Oryzias latipes: one gene and its partners. The protein of the gene in region 2 interacts with the protein of the main gene of each other region in a pairwise test. Links are inferred from orthologs where the notes say so. Each region holds a gene or a part of one and is shown on either strand. Other genes may lie near its edges.

What was found.
Region 1: the proteins of syntaxin-4 (region 2) and bet1 interact in binary tests that used the Homo sapiens proteins (3 or more experiments, as listed by UniProt). The two-hybrid records come from large-scale screens. The link is inferred for Oryzias latipes from reciprocal best matches to the Homo sapiens genes STX4 and BET1.
Region 3: the proteins of syntaxin-4 (region 2) and sec22a interact in binary tests that used the Homo sapiens proteins (3 or more experiments, as listed by UniProt). The two-hybrid records come from large-scale screens. The link is inferred for Oryzias latipes from reciprocal best matches to the Homo sapiens genes STX4 and SEC22A.
Region 4: the proteins of syntaxin-4 (region 2) and vamp4 interact in binary tests that used the Homo sapiens proteins (3 or more experiments, as listed by UniProt). The two-hybrid records come from large-scale screens. The link is inferred for Oryzias latipes from reciprocal best matches to the Homo sapiens genes STX4 and VAMP4.
Region 5: the proteins of syntaxin-4 (region 2) and syntaxin-6 interact in binary tests that used the Homo sapiens proteins (3 or more experiments, as listed by UniProt). The two-hybrid records come from large-scale screens. The link is inferred for Oryzias latipes from reciprocal best matches to the Homo sapiens genes STX4 and STX6.

What each region holds. Positions count from the first base shown.
Region 1 is NC_019869.2:10,286,352-10,291,148, reverse strand, and holds bet1 (BET1 homolog), read left to right. Parts: upstream 1-1,782; 5' UTR 1,783-1,924; coding exon 1,925-1,943; intron 1,944-2,125; coding exon 2,126-2,232; intron 2,233-2,369; coding exon 2,370-2,426; intron 2,427-2,808; coding exon 2,809-2,964; 3' UTR 2,965-3,867; downstream 3,868-4,797. Other genes in the region: probable acyl-CoA dehydrogenase 6, read right to left, coding at 3,990-4,080. UniProt on the Homo sapiens protein: Required for vesicular transport from the ER to the Golgi complex. Functions as a SNARE involved in the docking process of ER-derived vesicles with the cis-Golgi membrane.
Region 2 is NC_019877.2:19,255,320-19,260,320, forward strand, and holds the start of syntaxin-4, read right to left. Parts: upstream 3,360-5,001; 5' UTR 3,198-3,359; coding exon 3,168-3,197; intron 2,832-3,167; coding exon 2,724-2,831; intron 1,358-2,723; coding exon 1,258-1,357; intron 369-1,257; coding exon 294-368; intron 223-293; coding exon 152-222; intron 28-151; coding exon 1-27. UniProt on the Homo sapiens protein: Plasma membrane t-SNARE that mediates docking of transport vesicles. Necessary for the translocation of SLC2A4 from intracellular vesicles to the plasma membrane.
Region 3 is NC_019879.2:4,520,037-4,525,001, forward strand, and holds the start of sec22a (vesicle-trafficking protein SEC22a), read right to left. Parts: upstream 3,515-4,965; 5' UTR 3,376-3,514; intron 2,575-3,375; 5' UTR 2,546-2,574; coding exon 2,364-2,545; intron 541-2,363; coding exon 377-540; intron 1-376. UniProt on the Homo sapiens protein: May be involved in vesicle transport between the ER and the Golgi complex.
Region 4 is NC_019862.2:3,864,494-3,869,489, reverse strand, and holds the start of vamp4 (vesicle-associated membrane protein 4), read right to left. Parts: upstream 3,009-4,996; 5' UTR 1-3,008. UniProt on the Homo sapiens protein: Involved in the pathway that functions to remove an inhibitor (probably synaptotagmin-4) of calcium-triggered exocytosis during the maturation of secretory granules.
Region 5 is NC_019862.2:1,649,552-1,654,020, reverse strand, and holds part of syntaxin-6, read right to left. Parts: coding exon 4,465-4,469; intron 4,366-4,464; coding exon 4,271-4,365; intron 2,734-4,270; coding exon 2,674-2,733; intron 2,326-2,673; coding exon 2,197-2,325; intron 2,120-2,196; coding exon 2,013-2,119; intron 2,007-2,012; exon of another isoform or gene 98-2,006; intron 1-97. UniProt on the Homo sapiens protein: SNARE promoting movement of transport vesicles to target membranes. Targets endosomes to the trans-Golgi network, and may therefore function in retrograde trafficking.

The DNA of each region.
Region 1 (4,797 bases), on a different chromosome or scaffold from region 2:
TCTATCTATCTATCTATCTATCTATCTATCTATCTATCTATCTATCTATCTATCTATCTATCTATCTATCTATCTATCTATCTATCTATCTATCTATCTATCTATCTATCTATCTTTATCTATCTATCTATCTATCTATCTATCTATCTATCTATCTATCTATCTATCTATCTATCTATCTATCTATCTATCTATCTATCTATCTATCTATCTATCTATCTATCTATCTATCTATCTATCTATCTATCTATCTATCTATCTATCTAATCTATCTATCTATCTATCTATCTATCTATCTATCTATCTATCTATCTATCTATCTATCTATCTATCTATCTATCTATCTATCTATCTATCTATCTATCTATCTATCTATCTATCTATCTATCTATCTATCTATCTATCTATCTATCTATCTATCTATCTATCTATCTATCTATCTATCTATCTATCTATCTATCTATCTATCTATCTATCTATCTATCTATCTATCTATCTATCTATCTATCTATCTATCTATCTATCTATCTATCTATCTATCTATCTATCTATCTATCTATCTATCTATCTATCTATCTATCTATCTATCTATCTATTCTATCTATCTATCTATCTATCTATCTATCTATCTATCTATCTATCTATCTATCTATCTATCTATCTATCTATCTATCTATCTATCTATCTATCTATCTATCTATCTATCTATCTATCTATCTATCTATCTATCTTATCTATCTATCTATCTATCTATCTATCTATCTATCTATCTATCTATCTATCTATCTATCTATCTATCTATCTATCTATCTATCTATCTATCTATCTAAGATAGCACAAGGGTTAAAGATAGGGTGAGGAGCTCGGTCACCTGCAGAGAGCTCGGAGTAGAACCGCTGCTCCTCCACATTGTGAGGAGCCAGTTGATGTGGCTCAAGCATCTGGTCCAGATGCAATGGTCACCTCCCTTGGGAGGTGTTCCTTGCATGTCCCACTGGGCAACAAAAATGGCGAGCAATACTGGAGCTATCCAGTTGTCCAGTTTTGATCCAGATGCCAGATCAGACAAGTAAAACAAAGACATACATGAATCCAGTCGACAACAAGTGGATCCATCAGAACTCAGCAGGGAGGTAGGTGCCAGTATTTTTGTCTGCTCCTGATTAACAACAATTGGAATAAAGAAACACTCAGAAACCCAATTTGAAGCCTAAATATCTTAATTAATGTTCGCCATCTTCCAACAAATGCCACAAGAACATGTTAAAACACTAAAAACACAATCTTCATCTGAGTGGGGTTTTAAATGGTGATTCTCTTGAACAATTTTCAAATAAAAGATGAGAAAAAGAACAACATTTTCTTTCTGAAGGCACAGTGACTTTATTCTGATTAGAAAACAGACAATGCAAATAAAGAAAAGTATTAAAGAAATAGCAACAGCAGAATTGCAGCTACAAACATGGTGTTTTAAGAGTGACATAATACTTAAATCCTGTTTCATGTGCGATGATTGGGTCTCGTAATTTAGAATTAAAAGAAGAAAGAAACACAATAGCAAAAATCTGGATTATTTATTCAGTAACAATGTAATTTTAGAAACTACAAAAACAATAAAAATAATAATATTAATTTGTCAAAAGATTATATTATTCAATATACCTTTTCAAAATGTGGAATAATATTTGGGTATTTAGTACCCAAAGGGATAAACGTACACTATTTTAGGAATCATTTACTTGATTTTTTTTTGTGGATTTTTTTTAGCTTTTACATTATTACATAGGATTTGTCCTTCTCGGCCACCGTATGATGTCGTGGCGTTTCCCTATGTGTAGAGACTAGACCTCTGATTATTTTTAAACTTTTCATTGTTTAATTCTTCGGAATATACTGTGGACATTTTCGGCTTCAGTGAGTAAGGATGAGACGCGCTGGTTTGGGTAAGAAACGAGTCTAAAACTGGGAAGTTTCAGATCGCTAGCCAGCTAACATGGTAGCTAGCATTAGCTAATGTTGTTTTCACTGGTGGATGGATGCAACACTCTGAGGCGTAGTTACATTTTTAATAAGGCTCTTGGCTTTATTCTCAGCATTTAATATTGTTTTTTGTTGTCTTGTGTAGGTGAAGGAGGCTCCGGGAATTATGTGGCGAGTGGCTACAGTGTTTATGAGGAGGAAAATGATCATTTACAGGAGGGACTGAGAGCTAAAGTCAGCGCCTTGAAAAGTGTAAGACCAGCTGCGACACAAAACTGTGCCTTCGTCTGTCACTATTCACTTGTTTCTGTTACCAATTTCTAGTTTTAAAAGCTATTTTACAAGTTTTACTTATCTAACAATCAATTCCTGTCTCTTGTCATTCCCAGCTGACTATTGATATTGGAACAGAGGTTAAATACCAGAATAAGATGTTGGAAGATATGGTGGGTTTCTCTTTGTATTTAAATGGCAAAGAAGTACCTTTACAGTTACTCTAAAGTCCTCACTCCTATGAAAAATGGTTTTAACATGTTCTTGTAGCAGCTTTCTCATGATGTATGGCATAAAAAGAAACAAAGATTAAACTTGTGTTTCTGAGTATTTCTTTATTCAAATTGTTTTAAATCGGGAGCAGACAAAAAATAAATCAAGCTTGAAAAAGAGTTTATTTTTGCTGTAGAAAATTGATTCTGGCTAAAAACAGCAGAATCATAATTAAAAGACAGAGGGACAATAGCTCAAAGAGTGGGATTTTAATAGTACCGACTTAGTAAACATTTTCTTGGATTTGAAGCGGTTCCTGATCCCCCCCTCATCTCTTCACAGGACTCGGACTTTGATTCTACAGGCGGACTGTTGGGAGCCACCATTGGCAGAGTAAAGCAGCTGTCCAGAGGGAGCCAGACCAAACTGCTCTGCTACATGCTGCTCTTCTGCCTTTTTGTCTTCTTTGTCCTCTACTGGTTCATCAAGCTGAGGTGATAAGAGCATCTTGTTGGACTTTGCCCCTTAGCTCCACGTCTTCATTCCCATTCACTAGCAGCTCTGACCTAAAAAAACACTTGTTCAATTGGTTAGGTGGGGATTTTTTTCTTTCGAGCATCATTTTGTTTCCTGATGTCCCCTAAATGAGCCATGAAAGGGCTTGAAATAGAAAATAGACAAGAAATAAACTTTGAAAGTGTTCATCTTTAACAAGGCAAATGACCCAGGAAAGCACCTTGTATACCATTTGTATACCTAACACATTAGTATTTGTGTTGCACAGCTACAGCTCAGTTATGATTAAACAAACAGGATCCACAGTCCAAGATACAACAGCTGCTGATGAGTTATTTTTTGTAAATGAGGTTAAGGTGGTTTGAGCTGTGGAATAATTAAACACAATTTGGTGTACTTATGTCAAGGAGGGAGTTGATATGGACAGGTTTGAACACAAGTACGGTAATTACAACTCATGTTGATGAGTTTTGGACAGCCAAATGAATTAAAGGCTGCCGATAGTCCTAAAAACCTAAAATCACAACTAAACAATTCAGTCTTAAATGCTGCCAGAGCAAAGTTTCCATAATAAAACACAATTTCAACATTGTTTTTTGCTATTTTAATTCTTCTGCCACTGATTTACAAACTATGAGCATAAACATTTGTTATACAAAATTATGTCAATCTTATTTCAACTGTTCAGTCCCATAAATGTGGACACACACAGTGCAGCACATAAGGGACACGTCTGTATTACATCACCTGACATTGTAAATCACCACAGAGACCTTCATTCTTGAGTAAAAATGTAAATAAAAACAGATTTTATGGCATCGTTTGTGTTTCCATGCTGGATGTGTTCAAAGCGTTTAACATAACTTCATCAATAAAAGAAGCAAACAATTACAAGAGATTTCCAAACTAATTTTTTTTTTACAAATATCTGAACAGGTCAGGATGGTTTAAAATTGCACTCTTGTATTAATTATCATCGTCTGAGCAGGAATCTGCTGCAAATGACATCACTTCCGGGGTAAAGTGTCCATGAACTTGCAGATTATTCCCAGCATCACCTCATCAGCCCCGGCGCCGATGGACAATAACCTGGAATCCCTGGAGGAGAGAGAAAAAAAGCAACAACACACTTCTGTAATTAACTGTCACTCAGGTGCTCATAAGTCCAGTCTTTGCATGAAAGTTCAACTTCAAGTCTCTAGTCTGTCAAACTTTAAATTAAACCGCAAATCTTAAGACTTGCAGTAAAAAAAATGAACATTTATTTGGTAATTAACTAGTAACCCTTGTGCTATTCTAGGCACTTTAATATTGGGAGTTGGGTCATCTAGACCCACTAGACAGTGCTCTGAACCTTTTTTCTTCAATGATTTGTGATCTTCACTGGTGTCCATGGATTAAATGAAATCTTTCCACCTTTGTCGTGGTAGGGAGAACACGTCAAAGTAAGGGTGGGGTCATCTAAGATAGCACAAGGGTTAAAGCAGACAGCTGGTGTTTCAGTCCAAGAGGCTTTTATTTTTAGACCTAACAATGATTTCCATGTAAACAAATGAACCTTTTTTTATAGGTCTAAAACCTCCAATTCTTGAGGTTGAGTCTTAATTCATGTAAGACCTGAGTTTAAACCCCATCTTTGGTACCACTTGATGCTATAATAGCTTCAAGAGAAGAACTAGTAAGTTAACACATTTCTTCGTTTCTCCATTAGGTTATTGTAACCATAGAAACACCCAATACATTAGCATAATTTACCCTCAGATGTCAGAGTATTTATAATGTTTATTGTTTGATCTTTACCCTTTTTGTAAAATA
Region 2 (5,001 bases):
CACAAACTCCTTGGAAAGTATGGCATGCTGGGAAAAACAGACCAATTTATTTCACACAAGCAGCAAGGAGGATGCAACAGTCTAAATTTCTGCATTTAAGCCTATTCTGTCAAATAGATAAAATTATTGTTTAAATATGTAAAGATGCTACCTGAGTGCGCTGCATCCGGACATTTATGGGAATATATTTGCCATCATCGTCCGACTTTTTGGATTCAATACCTCAGTTGAGACGAGAAGAAACTTAAGTGGTTTGAAGACAAAATTCTTGATTTGAACTCCCAAATACTCACTTTTCAGCTTCCTCTGGATCTGGCTCGCTAATATTTTGATCTCTTCTCGAAGAGTTTGAAGCTCTTTCTTCATACCTAACCCGAGAGGAAAACAGCATTCATGAGCACAGATCCTCAGTTTGAGAGTTTTCTGAGCAGCACGCCGTGGTCGAAATAAAACACACAACGTCAGAAATTGAATGCAACTGGAGTCTCAGGATGACATTTTTTTTGTAAGATGTGTGGAAATCTACGAAATACCACTAAAGTTAGCTGCATCAGTTCAACACATTTACCACAAAAAAAAAAGAAACAACAAAAAAGGAGAAGAGAAAGAAGAAGGGTGTGTTGAAAATGTCAAAATAATTGTCCTCTTTTTTATGATTTATTTTTGTCTTGATACTGTGAGTAAACGTTAGGATTTAAAGACAGAGAGAAGGGAGGAATTTATGTTTGTATTTCTTATTTCTTTCACAGCTCCAGCAGAGACATTTTGGACGGTACAAACAAGTTGTGGGCTCCTGCCATGTGTTTGGCCCAAAACAAACCAAAGTACAAGGAGATATTCATAAAAATGTTTTTAAAAAATTGTTTTTTATTATTATATTCCTTTCATTTTTGACCACCTTTGTGTGCTAAAGTATCTGCCACTGAGAAAAATCACTAAATCAGGAGTTGATTGATCAGCAGAGAAGCATCAGACACCCTCATGAAAGGAGCTCCCTTAATTGCATTTTGGAAGAAGACGACAAAGAAAAACATGTTCACTGCGATCCAATAGAGAAAACTAATCTGTAACATATTTGGTGCCCTCATTGAGCCTAAAAATCTGATTGGAAAGGCGCCCCCAACTAGCCCCGCCTTACTCTGGTGGGATCCCTGTGAAAAATCTGGAGAAACGTCGTTCTAATCCTAAAGTGCAACTACACTGATCCTCTGTTACAAAATGCAACACGAATTTATCAAATTCATAAAGTTGACGTACTCTCCTCTGGCAGCGCCACGCCCAGCACCGTCTTCTGTTTGTTCTCCAGCTCTGACACCATCCTCTTTAAGTTCTGCAACCCCTCGTGGATTTCTTGCACCTTAGAAAGAAGTTTGTAAAGTTTTAGGATTAACAGGCAAAATCATCTTCCCAGACAAACAGCTTTAACTGCAACTGTAACATCCTGACCTTTTTTGATCAGAAAACTTCAATTAATGGGTTGGGAAATGCAGTGTTTGTATAAAAAAAAAAGAAATCCAAGGAAATATTAGAACAAAGATCCCTCTGCTGACTCTTATTTTAGAATCTTCTCAAGGTTTATAGATCATAATGGATCCTTGACTTTAAATAAAATCCATAACTGCCTTGACTTTATGATTTCATCTCTCTTTACTTAGTTTATTTTGATTTCCTCACAAATGGTTTGGATTGAAAGACATGCTCAGAAACTTTTGCCATCTTGATGGTATCTGACTCCAGCCTCCCTCAAAGAAAAACATCTGAATTTTAAAAATATAAAGAAATTTGGAGAAAATAGAAACACCATTATTACAAACCAACACCTTTGAACATGTTTCATTTAACTGATACAAAAAGTATCCTAAGATTTTCTAATGTGAGAAAAAAGTCAGTTGGATAAACAACTGTGTGTTATTGTTGGTGTCCGTCTGACTCTTTCACTCAGCCAAACTAAAATAAAAACCTGAAAAGAGGATTTCTGTTGCTAAAGCCCTTTTATTGTTTGGGGGGGGGGAAATGCTTAGCATAGAAATTATTTTTTCCAAACAATTAAAGTTCAATCAAAACTTAAAAAACCTAAAAAGTTAAACCGTGATAATATATGGAAATGCTTCTCTTTACTTCTTTCTGTTTTAATGTTTCTCTTCTAGATCATTATAACTACAGTTTGCAACAAGTTGAACATCATGATCATAATTTATAGCAGCTTCTATGACACTTTATTTAAACTTTCTTTTCAGAGATTTTCAAAATAAAACATGGCATTTCTTTCCCCTCACTGTAAAAGTAATGCTGCTTTCGTGGACAGTTGGTAAACTGTAGCATCAAATAATAAGTGGAGGTCTTACACACTAAAGATGGCTACAATCAACTAAAATGTCAAAACTTTATGGACATCTGCATTTTTCCACTAAAAGTCTTTTATTTATATTGTTAAGTGCAGCCCTACATACAGGCCAGTGTTTGTTGTCCGTTAATGTTTCACTCATATTTAAAGCTTCATAGTTGACCTTTTATATTTATTTACTTTCCTTTTGTTCTGGGATTAGAGGAGAATTTAATGTCGGCAAAACAATTGTGTGTGTTACAGCTAAACCTTCAGCTCTGTCCTCTGTCTCATAAACATGAAGCAGAGGCCCATTGGAGGAGCATTTCCCAGGACATCCGGTATCTGATAATACTACAAATCATTTGGAGGAGCCCAGATCGAAAACTTGGATGATCACCTTTTTGAAAAAAGCCTCATTCTCCTTATCTTCCTTTGTTGAAGAGCTGCCAGGTTTGCTCATCAAAGCCGTTTTCTCCTCGTTCTCCTCATCTGAGGCCTCGGCTTTCTGCGGTGAGGTGGACAGAAACACACAAGAGGAGGATGAAACAGAGCTGTGTGAAGGTGCCGGTTCAGATCTGCAGCCGGGAGCCCTGCCCTTATCCCGGCCTGACAGCTTCCTTGGAGGAAGAACTCAAGCGGACGTTAGCAAAGCAATATCGCCACAAGTGCTTCCAAGCGTAGAAAATAAGGGGGGGGGGGGGGTATATTGTTTTGCTCTCATATGCGGGCTTACAGTTAATAAATAATCAGAGACCGAAGCATTTCAAAGTTCACTTAAACAATCAATACAGCTAGGTTAGCAAGCTAACGCTATTGCTAACACACCAACTTTAAAACTTACATTATCTAACTCTTTTGTTCGATCCCGCATTTTTGATGTCGATGTTCAGAGTTGGTGTCGGAAACGCTGCGAGCACGCGGCCGAGGAAGGACAACGGTTCCCAAGCAACAAAAGCTGCGGACTTTCCACTGCTGTCATTCAGCAAGTTTAACTCCAGAGCAACAGTTCTCACAGTTCTTCCTCTGCGGTTCAAACAAACAGAATTTAATCGATGGCGCCCCCTTGTGACAGACACCTTTACTACAGGCAACAAAACCTGCTTTGGTTTAATTCAATTGGAATAGCCAGAACCATACTATATTTGTACGACGGAGTATTAGAATTGACAGAGTATTACTATATTACTTATGATTATATACTATTATTTTATATTACTATTGACAATAAGAATAAATAGCAAATATGATTATGAAATTATAATATAAATATGAGAACGAAGTCGTAAAATTGTGGGGAAAAAGTCAACATTTACCAAAAATAAAGTTGAAAATGTATTATTTAAAAAGGAAAAAGTCATGTTTTTTTAAATTAAGGTTATAACTTCATGAAACTAAAGTTGTGCAATTACAAAAAAGAAAACAAAAAAGAAAAAATCATAATCAAAGTGATAGATATTCATCAAATTTCTCTGCAACATCATTTAAACAGGAACCATTTAATTGTCATAGTTGAAAATTTTTAAAAACTAAATTTAACACTTTACTTAAGAAAAAAAGCATGACATCTCTTTGAAAATTGCAAGTTTTTACAGTTTAAACATATGACTTTATTCTTGAAAATTGTAAAATTTCTTTTTGATAATTGCATGACGTTTTTGTAGTAATTGTTTTCTTAGTTCTTCTAAAATGTAAACTTTTTGTATTTTACACCTTTTTTCATATATAAATGTTAATTTTTCTGCTTTTATAGTGGCCATAATACTTTGTTGTTCATTTGACATATGAACAAAATAATATGAATCAAACATTTTGTCAAATTAAAAATTAAAACAAGAGTTAAAATAAGAGTGAACAGAGATAATACCCAGCAACAATCTCTCTCCACTCTTTCACATATTCTGTCGCCTCCTCTTTTATTAAGTTTTTTGGGAATTCCCTAAATTACACATGCGCTGAGCTCTAAGGAGTGGAAGACAGATTGAACACAACTGCAGCGCCATCAGAAAATATTAATTGCAACATGTCCATCTTATCACAGTCTCCCCACATCATCTTTGGACCTGCAAAGCCTTTTCTCACGGATAACTGACACAGAGCGTCCTTTGATTCCGGTCTTGACACAGATACCACATAGTTCTCATGCTGATCTTGGGAAGACGCTAAGATAGTCGGTTTCCTCCCAAGAGTTTCACCTTCACCTTCCTGTGAAACAGAACTTGGACACAAACACTTCTGCATGTATGATTATATTACCTATAGAGCTAGGTAATACATAAAAGCAAATATGAGATAACTTACCGGTATATACATTTTTCTAACACATATATTAAATCTTATTGCTTTACTTTGAAGAACATGATTTATCTTCTGTGCCACACATTATCTCTAGATTTTAGTGCTAACCATAACCTCTTTGTTCTGGGATTTAACTTGATGCAGATTTTTTGAGTGCAAACCATCAACAACTGCTGCTGAAGAGTGCCAGAACAAAGATGCATGACCGCCAAATCATCAGCATAAAGCCTGTGATTAAACTACACACCCACTGTCATGCATTGAGCTTCCCAAAGATGTTGTCCTCATCAAAAGGTATAGAGGGCAGCCTTGTACCCCAAAAGGATAAGTGTAACCGGTCGCTTTCTGCGTTGTGCTGGTTAATATATGGTGTGACACAG
Region 3 (4,965 bases), on a different chromosome or scaffold from region 2:
AACTTAATCTGAAACCAGCTTTGTCCAAACGTAACACTTTTGCAGTAAGTGACAGAATTAATGCATAAAAACATTTTTATATTTACAAATTCAAAAGTGTGTATTCTTCAGTCAGCTGATACACTTGTGACTCCTCCCACTTGACAAATTGTTTCAAAAAACAATTTAAATAATCATTTTAGAAAAAGGACTACATCAACGGAACAATCAAAGCGGAACTTTAAGTTATTTGGTTGTTTCATTTAAAAAAAAAAAGTTGCTTTTTTTTACGAGAATAAAGTCGTAAATTTAATAGTATTATTATTTTTATGGTGGCCCTGACACTCAGGCATATTTCTATGAATCTGAAGTTGATGTGAAATTCCTTAAGACTGACCAAATTCAATGAAGGAGTATGGCCGCACGGCGCTGCTGATACGTTTGGGGTCATAGGTGACGATGAACTCCTTCTGTAGCTCGTCCAGGAAGCAGAATGCCAGCACGTTTGGGTAATTCGCAGTGCACACCATCAGATATCCAACACCCAGAGAGCTGGTGAAACTAATACCCACAGAACATCCAGAAAACATTGTTACTCTCAGTGCACTTCATCAAGAAGAAGAAAACCAACAGTAGTAATAAAGGACTGTAGGTCCTCACTACACCAGGTTTACTATGGTTGCCATTCTAGTGAAAACGTTCAAACTGGTCAGTTTATTTTTAGCCCTCGTAACATCTTGTGCTTTTGTCGTTCATTCCCTTCACCCTGAGGTGGATTGAGACACTCCTTCCTCCTCTCGGGAGGACCCAGTTTGCATATTTAAATAATAAAAAAACAATGAAATAGCTAATGACCCAAAAGAAACATCCCTGGTGCAAATCAAACCTGTGTTAATGTACCCTTGGTGTAAAAAACAAAAAATAAAGACCATACATACATTTCAGTCTGATTTAGATTGAAGCAGTAAAGGCTTCTAGACGTGACGACAGTTAGTTCTTGAATTTAAAATCAAAATCAAGTTTTATGTTGTGAGTACAGAAAATCTGACAGGGGCATTTTATTACGCAAAAGACTGACTAGAAATCTTTCTTAAATTTTTTAAACAGAGAACACGGACCTCACAGCAAAAGAAAGTCACGGGAGGACCCAAATCTTTGAACTTAAGCCTTCAAAATCAGAGCTTTAGTTCCAGTGTTTAAAACATTTTAACAAGCACTCTTTAACCGTTTACGCAATTGACGTAATTCTGAAGCGGAGAAAAGCAGTTTGTCCTGATATGCATCACTTAAGTCATGTGTTGCATTACGGTGCAAAGATGATACGCAAAGCCGTCAGAAACAGTTCCTTCACGTTGATTGGTCAAAGATTTACTTTCTCAAAGGGCGTGAGTTAAAATGTGTCAGCAGCAACGCCTCTGGTGTTAAAGGGTAAAAAAGCTGATACTCTGATGTGACGCCTTTACACCCATCTGATGGGCCAGGCTACGTGACGAGTGAAATTCTTTAAAAAGAAGAAATGGTAGTTTTATAATGTATGGTGCTGAGTTAATCTAAGTATTACTTAGAGCAGGGGTTCTCAAAGTTTCTGTCGCAGAGGGCCAAATTAAGAACTTGACATTAGACTGGGGAACAATTTTGGTGAAAAAAAAAATGGATAAACAGAAAAAGTTGTTTTTAATAACTTTAATGACCAAGTGTTGTTTGTACAATTAACAGGCCCTCCAGATATTTAACCCGGAGGTTGCTGTCCAGATCTTCTACTCGTCTAGTAATTGTATCATTTGACAGACTTTTTTTAGCTCTGGACAAACAATGTAAGCTGCTTTCAGAATACATTCTTTCTACAAACTCCTCACCACTTAAGGGTTTGCTACGCCGGGCCATTTCCAAAGCCACAACGTAGCTACTAGCTACTTTTTAAAGGTGACATATTTGTTGTTTACAACTGTTCTGTGAAGCAGTTGCTTTGTTTTCCAAACCGCAACACTAAATCCTAAGAAAATAAAAAGCCTTGTTTCAGAAAAAATGTCTCATTTTCTGTCTTGCAAGAAACCCAACATTATCAAGAAAGTTTCTCAAAAGTGCAATAATCTGAGTTTGAGAAAACATGTCTTTGTGCCTAGAATTTTTTTTTCTTAAAATAGGAATTATTCTTTAAACCATTTTTCTGATCCAATTGGCAGATTTCTTTCTTTTTTTTTTTTGCTTATTTTTAAGAAAAGACAATCTGACGGTGGGGAAAGAATTTTGACTTCTTTCAACAGGGCCTGTTTTGGAAGTGAAAATCCTAACAAATATCTTTTTTTAATGCCTAATTTACTTAAATATGGTCGCCTAGTAAAACGTTTTTTTTTTGGGCAGAAAAAGCATGGAATGAGACCTACTTTACATTATATGGTCCAGACTTAAGTGTGCAGCGGTCAGGGAACTGGTTGAGCTTCCTTGAAAGCCCTTTGAGGTGTCTCTTTGTCTCCTGAAGCTCTTTCTCCATCTCATAATCAGTTGATGCTGAGAGAGGAAGACCATCTCCAACTCGGACCACCGAAGCAAACAACACCATCGACATGTTAGAGCTTTGGATGTCTCACTGCAGATCTGCAAACAGAGGGAAAAGCAGGAAATAAAACGTGCTCAGACACAGGTATATAATGCTTACAGGTCTCCTTCACTCGTTTGTATATCCATCTGGTCTATGACTGACTTAACTGGACAGGTAAACTTTTACAGGTAGAAATGTCTGGATCAGTATCTGTATGTCAGAAATGTTAGCATATTTTAAGTTTCGTCTGTTATAAAGTTTCCTCTGTAGTGAATATATATATTAAAGGATTTCACATTAAAGCTAAAGCAACTCTTTTTGACATAAGATGCTGATCCAGCACTGACCGTTTGTCAGAACCATGGATAGCTCCGTAGCCACGTGAAGACACCCTAAAGTAAAGAGGAAGTGATTTCTCTCCCGAAATTTATCTTCAACAGAAATGGGGACATTTCGCTATGAAGTAAACACTTCCTCCAAACTGCACAAACGAATATTACTGATGACATAAACAATAGCTCTCTTGTTAGCAGCACATCCAGTGTTGAGAATTAGCAACTTAGCTTAGCTCTTAGAAGTAGAAAGAAAAAAAACTTCTACACAACAAACGTGTACATTGGGACGTTGCATAAATTGGATCTGATGTGCAAAACTGTAAATACAAAGCAAAAGTATGCGGGCTAAAATGCAAAGAAAGCGACCAGGTTAATCGTCTGGCAGGTTAGCTAGCGTTAGCTGCTAGCAAGATGCAAGTACAGGTACATGACGTTGCTAACTATTTTAACAAAAGCAAAGGGATATAAATTGAAATCAGCAAATGTCGGAGAAACAAATACAATTGACTAAAAAAGTGATACCTGGAGAAAAAATGTAACATCATGCGGACATCTAACAACGTGCAGCTTTAAAATACTCCAGTTCCTCTGTTCTGTTTACGTGGCTCTGTCGCTGTGCATTGTGGGTAAAGATACTCACGAACGTCACCACGAAGGGAAATTTGATTCAATTAGTTTTAAAAACCGAAAATTAAAAAAAAGAAATAAAAAAAGCATAATTAAATACAGGAACGAAAAAAAAGCGTATAACTCCGTAAAGAAGCAACCCTTTTATAGATACTTGTTCCCTCTTCTTTGCCTGTCAGTTGTTCCCTTCAGCCAGGGTCACCACAGTGAATCATCTGCCTTCATCTGTCTATATATTCTCTGCATCCCCTGCCTGGCCCCACATTGCTCCTGATGGTTACAAGTTAGCACCAGTGTTCGACAACAGAGCGTGAGGGTGTGTTTACATGGATGAATGGATCTATGACTGTAGAGCATTTGGGCCTTCTAAGAAGGTATAGCACAACATAAATGCTTTCAGTGAATGTGGATTGCAGTTTGCAGATTGCAGGAGGAACATTTCAGGTGTGATGTCTGACAACAGTGTGTAAGAAAAAATGGAGACAAGGCGTAGAAGACTAAAACGCAGCTTCTCTGCAAATTGAGGCGATAGATAAATTATGACAGAAGGATCCTGTAAGAACAGTGAACACTTCCCCTTTATCTCAGATTTTAATATACGTTCCTATTATTATATTTTAATCAATCACTTTTAGAAGTTCTTAATATTGATCATTTGGATTGCAACTTGCTCCAGATGTTATTTTCCACTGAAAGCCAGTTAAACATTAGCCTCATTTCAAAGCATCTGATGTTGCAGTTTATTTTTTGGACTAGGACCAAGGCATTAAAAATAAACAATGTGTATACATGAGCGGCCAAGTTTTGTTGCTCCGATCAGACATGAAATAGGCCAGTTACTTTGTACCCCCCCAGCGTTCATACATTTCCCTAGTAAAATGTGTGAGAGGAAGAAGAAATGACTGTGACTGGAGGAGATGGTAGGCAGCCTCATCGTTCACAGATACCTGTGCAATCTCTCCTGAGCTCAGGCAGTGTGTCAGCCTGAGGGGACCTTCATGGCCCGTGTGTGTTGGGCGGTGGGGGAGGACAGCAACAAAGAGGGGGGAAAGATGGAAAGTGGATGATGGATGTGAGCTGCTGCTGACAGGTTGATGAATAGCCACAGATTTCTCTGAGTGTTTAGAGCAGGAAAGTGTCAGGTGTGGGGACAGCAGTGCTGTTATTGCAGTGACACAATCTAAACAGAAGATCGGGAACATCCACTGAATTCAAATTGATCGCTGCCAGCTGGTTTTTACCAACAATATCAACTTTTTTTTAGAGCAGAGAGGTTTTTCTAAAAATACGACTGCTTTTGCTTCTTTTTGCATCGTGTCGAGTAAATCTGACCTTTCATAACGGTAAATTGACATTAGTATTGTCATTATGACAGCTTTTAGACATATCTGAACAAAATTTTAGGTACCCACAACAGTCACCAATAGAGTGATTGACCTTAAATCGAAAGATTGCAGGTTCGATTCCCGCCCATGTGTCTAAGTG
Region 4 (4,996 bases), on a different chromosome or scaffold from region 2:
CGCTTATAAGACCTTCCAAAACTTTTGCCAAAATGGGTAACTTGGAAATTGGTCTATAGTTATTCAAATTTGTTGGGTCACCACCTTTAAGTAGAGGTAACACATAAGCGGACTTCCAAGCATGCGGAATGGTGTTTGTGGACAAAGACAAATTAAATAAATAGGTCAGTGGAAGTGCGATAGAGTCTGCTGCCGCTTTTATAAAATATGGTTCCAGATCATCAGGACCAGCAGATTTAGTAGGATCAAGGAGTTTAAGGGCTTCTGAGACTTCTGAAGTTGTGAAGAGGGAAAATGAGAAATTATGTATTAAATCTTCGTGATTCACAGGGAGGGAGTACTCAGCTGAATGTTTTATAGAATTAAATAATGATCCAGAGGAAACAAAATGCTCATTAAAACATAAAAGCATCTCTGTCTTGTCTGTTATATTACAAGTGTTTTTCATTATACTTGAAGGGAGCTCAATACCTGAATTATTTTCATTTAGGGACTTAACTATCTTCCAAAACTTTGAGGGATTATTTAAATTTTCTGTAGTATTTTTCAAAAAATGGTCAGATTTCACATTTCGAATTGCAGTAGTGCAAGCATTGCGTAGTTTTCTGAATGCCAGCCAGTCAGATGCATTATCAGAATGTCTAGCTTTTGCCCATGCTACATTCCTTTCATGTAGTTGGTTAGCCAAATCTGAGCTAAACCACGGATTATTACGACCTTTCACTTTATAGTGCCTGATAGGAGCATGTCTATCAAGGATTTTTGTAAATTCATTATGGAAATAACTCCAGGCCCTTTCAACATTATCAATTTCCATCATCGTGTGCCAGTCAAATTCATATAGTTCTTGACAAAAGGATTGTTCACAAAATTGCTTGACATTGCGTTTTATGATAATGTGTGGTTTGGTTTTGGGCATTTTTGTGTTTCTCGATGTAGCAATGATACAGTGATCACTTATATCATTTGCAAATACAGCAGCAGTTGAATACTTTGAAGGAGAATTTGTAAGAATCAAATCAATTAGCGAGGATTTCTCCGGAAATTTGGGGTTAGGTCGAGTAGGATCATTTACTAATTGAAAGAGGTTCAGGGAATCACAGTAAGATTTAAAATCATCAGAAACAGCTTGCAACCAGTTCCAGTTTAAATCTCCAATTATTACAACTTCATTGTATTTTAAGGAAGACAGCAGTTCCATTAAAGAGGGAAGAGCAGAGCCATCAGCAGAGGGCGCTCTATAGCAACCAACTAGGGTAATATGCAGAGAATTAGAGATCTCCAGATCAAGAGCTAAAAGTTCAAATTTCTTTGCCATTGATGTTTGCAGAAGAACTTTTGCATTAAGTTTAGTTTTGATATAGATGGCTATACCTCCCCCCCTTTTGGGACGATCAGCCCTAAAAACATTATAACCATTGATATGTATGTCAAAGTCAGTTATTGATTTGTTTAACCATGTTTCAGAAACAACAATTACATCTGCTTCAGTTGAAATTGCCCAAATGCGTATCATATCCATTTTAGGCAATAAACTCCTTACATTGAGATGAATGAATCCAAGACCATTACGAGATTTGAAGTCTTCAGGAGTACTAAAAGTAGGACTATCTGGTCCAGGGTTTGGTGGAATATTCCCGGAGATTAACAACAATAAGAAGATGAGGCGTCTTTGAAGTTGTGGTTTCTTACATACTGCATTTGAAGGTCCTAGAGATGGGAACGTTTTTAAGAATGCTATAGTAGAGTTTATAGTAAAATTCTTCTGAAGAACCATTACACAGCTGAGGTGCAGCAGTTCATTTGGATTGTCTGAGAGACACACAGATGCGTATGCATTATGACATTCATGAATAAAAGTTTTTGTTCCAGCATGAAATACACAACACACTGGATTCACTGGACGGGAGTCATCTGACTCCCGAAGAGCTACGGCAATGCCAAAGTCTCCGATGGAATATAAGGCCAATGTTAGCAGGAAGAATATTTCAGCCCTTGATATTATTTGCCGGGGGCTTTGAAGGAAGGTATTTAAAACTTTGGCCATGGCAGCCTTCAGTCCAGATATCTGCCAGAATCCAGTTCGGGATACACCGAGAGCCGTTTTTTTTTTTTTTTTTTTTTTTTTTGTTTTGTTTTGTTTTTTGTCAGACGTCCTCCCGTGACGTGCCACACAAACAGCAAGGAACACGGAGCTTGAAAGCTGCGGGCAAAAAGAGCGAAATTACTGCCCAAGCTTAGTTCAACTTTAAATGGGTATAGATCACACGATCCGAGGGTTGAATCAAGCACTTTCCTTCACACAAAGATAGCAAGCTCATCAACCAGCCAAGCGCTCCTGGATCTGCTTCGGATAGGGCATATCACACAGGTGCTAGGAAGGCAGGACGGCATCAGCATCTCAACTTTGGCAAAAATATATACAATAGTGCGCCAGCTTCGATAGAAGGTAAATTGGGACTTCCCTTAATTGATGAAGTATAAGGCCCGTCAAGGTTAGTCACGCCAGGAATCCAGCGACGATCACCCGGTGATAATCTTCATGATGACCGCATACAGTTCATGATCGTCGAAAAAATAAAAAATAAAAATAAAAAAAATAAAAATAAAAAATGGAGCGTTCCTTCGAATATCAGTGAACCAACCCTGGTTTTGGGTCTTAATGAATCGAGTAGGCTTTGACTCACAGAGTTTCGGAGCTAGCCTTTCTAAAAACAAGCACGGTAATTGATAAACAAAATACCATTCTCAGAAAGGCCAGAAACAACTATAAATTATAATCTAAAATAGCTTAAAAGTCGTTAAGAAAAAATAAAAATAAACTCATTCATTCACAGGACGCTAACAGACAGACAGAGTGCGTGCTGCCATCTTGGCGTCTCGACCTGTGCACCAAATAAAAATAGGACGCCCAGACATGGATAACCAGGGGGGTATTCCAGGGAGCATATTAAAACTACCCTGACTTTAATCCTGAACTCTGGCTGAAATCCGCCTGAACTTGCTTACTCTGGGTATGTTGGTTCCAAAAGACCGGATATGAGTTAGCGTAATTACGCTCGACTTGGTAACCCTGGGTTAATGCACGTGCACAGCAAGTACATAAAGACATTCTCAATGGATCACCGATTTCCGGAGTCACCATGGAAACGCGTGGTGAAAAAAAGAGAGCGCTACAATTCAGTGAGACGGAGTCTGAGATTAATGACGGCGTATGAAGATTATAAACCCATCAAAAAAGTAACACGGCTGCATCATCAAAAGAAAAAAGGAAAAAAAAGAGTTTCTGCTTGCAGAAAAATAACGGACAAAGTAAAAGCAATAGTTTCTGATCTTATTTCTATTATTCTTGTGACGCATATATATATATAACTTATCCAACTTAAATGAATTACTTATTACTTTATTCAACCTAATTTCTTACGTCTATCCAACTCAATATTTCTTTTTACAACTCAAATTTACATATTTATCTAACTAAATATCATATTACTCCAGTTTAATTAAATGTTTTTCAATCTTAATTTATTGCAATTCTTGAACTCTCCTATGTCTAAGAGGCTGCAGATTTTCTCATTTTTATAACAATAAAATGAATGAAACAAAATGGAACCACATTATGAAGTCTGTTCTCTGACTTAAATATTCCTCCACTGGGCAGTAAAGGTTCTAAATAAACTCGTGATCCTCTTCCTCCCTCTCCCTCATGGTGCTGAAAGAATTAAACATAACAGGGTAAAATAACTTGGTAAAACACATTAAAACAGCTAAACAACTAAACACATTTTGTCAAAAAACCACACTTGAACCCAAATCCGTCCAGACAGGCAAAGTGAATGGTATCCCACAATCCCTTGCGGTGCCGATCTAACAGCAGCACCAAAGTTACACCTACTTAATTGAATTAATTTGAATGAAAGTAAAATAACTGATAACTACGTGTTATTTTTAAGCTGACTTAAAAATGATTTCTCTTAACTGAAGCACATAATTAAGTTAGATCAAAGTAAAAAAGTTTATCTTTCCAACATCCATATGTGGTCTTATCACCATTTCACTGTGGAAAAAGTATTATCTGAGCTTCTTCATCCACTAAATCATCTTCAAATGGACACGCCATGCTGCTTCACCTCTCTGAAAACAAACTAACCTTCAACTAAACCTGCTCCAGACCAGGTTATGTTCAGAGCATGAGTTGCCATGGCAACTTGACATACCCTGAAACATACCTCTGTTTTTGGAACTGAAAGCTGAGGTTATCAACTTCCTTAGCCTCAAACTTACTGTGGTAGCTCACATAACCTGCTTTCTGGAACAGGGCCCTGGGCTTTCAGTAGTGCTACGTCTGAATCACTCAACACCGCATAAACTATTTTACGATGCAGAAACGAGCTTTGCGTTGCGTATTGATAATTCCTGTAGCCATGATAAATGCCTCTAAATAAACTGAATAAACAAAATCGTAAACAAATCTCTTTTTTTGCAACTACAGAAAGTAAAAAGCATTGAAAATAACACGTGAATAATTAACACGATTCAGATATTTTTAGGCCTTCAGAGAAGGCCTTGACGACCCACCACTGGACAAACGTCATCATCTGATCAGTGATGATCTAAATTACCAACCTTTCTTCTTTTGTTTCATTTTTCAACATTTTATGTTGTTTTCTAAAACTTTTTTTTTCATTCATTCTTTTCCTTTGCCGTTTTTCCCTCTCGGGGTCACTATCCCGGCCACTTGTGTGTGAAGGCATGGGATGTCCTGGACAGGTCGCCAGTCTGTCGCAGGGTAGAATTTTCTAAAAAAAAAAAAATGTTTTAAATAAGCTTTGGTTTCAGGATTTGTTGTGGTTTCTAAAATCGATTGTTGTTTTTTTGTTATCTGTTTTCTATATTTGTTGTTGTTATGATCTTTAATATGTTTTTGTGTTGATTTGTTGGTGATTTCCCCTTTAGGGCAAAGTCTTCTGACCTGCGAGAGCCCCACCATTAAACA
Region 5 (4,469 bases), on a different chromosome or scaffold from region 2:
GCAATGTGTTAAGGAACATGCTTTCTCTGTGCTGAGCTCCAATCCCAGAACCCCAAAAACAGGGAGGTGTAAAGAGAGTGAGCCTTAACAGATGCACCTTTTGGTAAAGCAGTCTGCAAGTTGTTCTTTCACGTTGTACCACAACACTCGCTCAACTCTGCTTGGATGAGTTGGCACTTTTTTCCAGACAGACTTCAGTGCGTCAGCCAGTGAATCTGTGACACAGATTATGGGTGGAGCGTGTTCAGTCGTTGGTTCAGAGAACAGTGTTGCTGCAAACGGTGCATTGTCAGTTCCATCAGACATTGCCAGTGTTTCTCCAGCAGGTGTGCTCCTCACAATTCTGTTCACTCTCTTTGAGGGGGAGCGGTGAAAACTTTCCACGTTCTCCCATTAGAACTATCAGGTTTCCTTCTTGAGTGGCTCCATCTGAAAGATTGCCAAATGAGGCATCACTGAACACCCTCATCTTGAGGGCTGAGTCCCTGCCTAGAAGCTCAAAGTTCAGAGCCACCTCACTGGATTTCAGTTTGCACACCGTTCTATTCGTTTCATGGATTTAAAGCATCAAACAAGACTTTTGGTCGACTCTGCCTTGCAACCCAGAGAATTTGTCCAATCTTGGGCGTGAGCAGATCTTTTTCTTTTGCTGACAGAGATGAGTCTTGCTGTACTCAGCAAGCACAGCATCCAAGAGACACTAAATCTATTCACACATAACAAAATGCTCATACTGCATCCGGAAGATCCCTCTTGTATGTACACATTTGAGTATACCGCTGTTCAAAATCAATTATCTAATCCGTCACGGATACATTACTGTCTCTCGTTATCCAAACTTGAGTAGGTCCGGTCTTTGTTCTTTGAGAAACCGATCATCTAGCTTTATTAGTGACGTGTCCTGTGTCCTTGAGCAAATCCTCCTTTGATATTTCTATCGCCACGTCTCTCGCTTGCCCAGAAGAAAGCGCCAAAGGAACGGAGAGTGCTTGCTTCTTCTTTTCAAGGTCTGTAACTCGGGTCCAACTTATTTTTTCCAACTTTTGTACGGTTTTCCTTCGTCAAAGGTTTGTAGGACTCTGTAGTTGCTAATCATCCCCTGCTACCAATGTTAAACAAAATTGAAATTCACTTCGCAGCGTAACGTTTTCTTTATTCATTCCACCATCATCAACACAACAACGACCCATCCCATCCAACCGGCCCTTTCACAATAAGAACATGATGTGCAATTACCATAAAACAAGAAATTTGTTATTTAACAGTTCCTGTCTTTATAGCTTAACAACTAGAATTTGGCAAAGAAGGACCAAAACCAGATTTTGATGAGCCCTTTTTCCACAACGGCATCGTGAGAGGGGCAAAATTGTAATTATTTTTCCCTTATTTGATTGTGGCAACAATTTAACTTTGTGGCTCCTTCTAACATCTGCTGTGTAATACACATATAGTACCGAAGTTGACCTGTTTATATGCTGTTGAAGTGAGCTTCTGTTACAGCTGTTATCTGGTAAGTCTTGAAGCTCTCAGCAACACATTGAGTCCTTCATTTCTAAATGAACCGAATCATGCTACCTTTTACCTGAACCAGGTGTGTTTATTCAATCAGAATGTGGAAGCACCTGACTGAGTTAACCAAGCAGGGATTAGAGATGTAGAAAACTGGGTTTTCTAGACGGGGTGGTAGGACGACCAGGAGTGAGCAGCACTGATCAAGACCCCTAGACTGTGACTGAACTCCTTCACTGCTCTCTACACAGTGCACTTTCTGTAGTGCTGGGCAAATCTACTATTCCAAAATCTGGAAGACTTCAATGCATTGCATTTGAACGACTTGTTATTTTTAATTAAAAAAAGTATTTACATTTATTTTTTTATAATTAATCCACAATTTCACCATCACAACACAGCAGATTCATAAACGGTCAGCCATTATCAGGTGTTGACGTTGGCAAATGGGTGATGTCATATTTGGCATTAATGTGTTTAAAGGGTCAGCTTGTGGTTCTTACTCAGCCTGTTCGTCCAGCTCCACGCCGATTCTTTCAGACATGTTCTTGAGAACGTTGATGGACCCAGACACCAGTTCCAGCTGTTCGTCCTGCTGCTCTGCGATCAGCTGAAACACACACACCAGCGTTTGGTCTGGGCTCAGCATCACCTCCATGCCCCCATCTGTTCTCGGTCCGTCTGTACCTGCTGCTGCACCTGTGCCTCCTCAATGAACTGACTGTTGGCGCTCTGCAGCTGATGGTCAAGACGGCGGTATTTGTCTGAACCGGGCTGCCATATGCGTCCTTGAGCTCCACGCTCACCGAGCAAAGCCTGAACACAAAAGAAAAGCATACAGTGGAGCAACAGAAGTGTTCAATCAGCCATTAAATGTGTGGGTTCAGAGGCCTGTAATTGCCTTCAAATGTAAACTTCAACTATGAGAGACAAAACAGGGGAGAGATATCAGGGATAAAGTCTGTAGTGAGGAGTTTTACTGCCTTCAAGCATCTGTGCTTATTGTAAAAAATAGATCCCCCACTTTGTGGATGACAACTATAGCAGGGGATTGTAACTCGCGCTATAAACGAGGGAGCGCTGTACTGGAGTTTAGGACAAAGTTTCATGATGTCATCCTCTGTCAAAGGTAGCATTTGTCTAACCAGGAGAGAGACTTGGTACCTGTTTGCTCTTCCCGTCCAAGGAAGCCGTTCCTGGAGACGACATCTGCTCCTTCATCTCCTAGAAAAGAAACGGCAGACTATGTCACGAAGTGAAGACGTCACATACATGGATTTATGGTTCATTACAGAAAACTTGGTCATGGCGTCTCACTCTTATAACAACAGCGATGAACCAGAACTAAAAAAATGTATTTTATGAAAAAAAAGTTGGATATAATTATATGGCACTCTGTGTAAACAGGTTTTTAAATTTTGATCAGAAATAAGAAGTTCTCTTTGTCCTCTCATGTCACTTAAGAATATCTTATAGTAAAGCTTGGATTCAAAGTGATGAAAGTTTTTGTTTGAAGTTTAAAAACCCTCAAAACTATTGACTGTTTAGGAGAACAGGAGTGAGAAGTGTGTCGTCATCTACAGAAAATGGGTTACTTCCTTCTGTTGACGTTTTTTCCCCAACACAAACGCCACCATGTTGGAACAGTATGCAGTGATTGGTCTGAGTCATCGTTTCTATGGTAACCACTCACACCAAACACTTAAACGTGAGCTACAGAAAATCTGTCAAACGTTCAACCTGGGGGCCAGCAGGCTCCTCCTACTTTTATTGAGGCATCTGATTGGTCCGTTTGTAACTTGAATAAGTTTAAATACAAAATACTAAATTTGGATTATCAAGAAGATGTTAAAAAAGGTATCAGATCCAGAATGGTTCTTCTGGCCAATAGGATGACTGAATAACAGCTGTTTAGTTCTCTATAGGCTCTATGGGACTTCCTGAAACCAGCGGGTACTTCCTGTTTGGAGCGCCAGGGGGGAGGAGTCCAAGACAACTGATCCGTGTTAAGAAAATAACTAATGGGGCATGTATGGTTAGATTTCTGATGTAAACTGTGCTATAGCACCCCCCCCCCCCCTCGTAAATCTGAAGCACTCCTGAAAAAGCTGCAGTTCCCCAGAACTAAATCAGCTTTCAGTTAAATATAGTGTTAAAATAAGACGTTAAAAATATATATTTACCGTCTTGTCTGAAAGATCTTTTGTGCTTTATTTTTTGTAAAATCACTGAAGTTGATTTTATGAAGGCCTTCCTTTCTGTATTGTTTTTTGTTTTTAGATGGACTCAACAAAACTCCCTCTTTACTCTGTCAGGCCCACCATTCAGACAGCTGTAACATGTTGTTTTGTTTAGAATAAGTATTCCTTGTTAGGGAATCGTGACACGTGACATTATCCCACTGATGTCTTTGCTGCTATTAAAAAACAAACCAAACCTTTCCAGACCAAATGTGTTCCTGTGGAGGGGATGCTTTCTAAAGGATAATCATTCATTATGTGTGCAAACAGCTGAACAGTAAAGATCATCTTTTTAGTTTAGGGGTCTGTTATGCTGCCCAGCGTCAGGCCACCATTCTCTCCAGATGTGATGAGTTCTACTTTTAAAATCTTTGAGGGCTGTACTTGGAGGAGCCATTGGTCTTCAACTATTTCAATGAACTACCAGACTGACCAAACCGAAGGGAACCAGACCACCGTGCTGCAGACGTTTGGGGTTCCTCCCAAAGCGAGTTCACATCTGAGGTGTGGCGGAGGCTTACCCTGACCATATGTCTGGTGCTGGTGATGAAGGCCTTCCTCTTTGACAGCTCCGCTGCATCCAGATTAAACTTCTTTGGGTTTGACTCTACTATGCGTTTGCAATGTGTTAAGGAACATGCTTTCTCTGTGCTGAGCTCCAATCCCAGAACCCCAAAAACAGGGAGGTGTAAAGAGAGTGAGCCTTAAAGGATATTGACA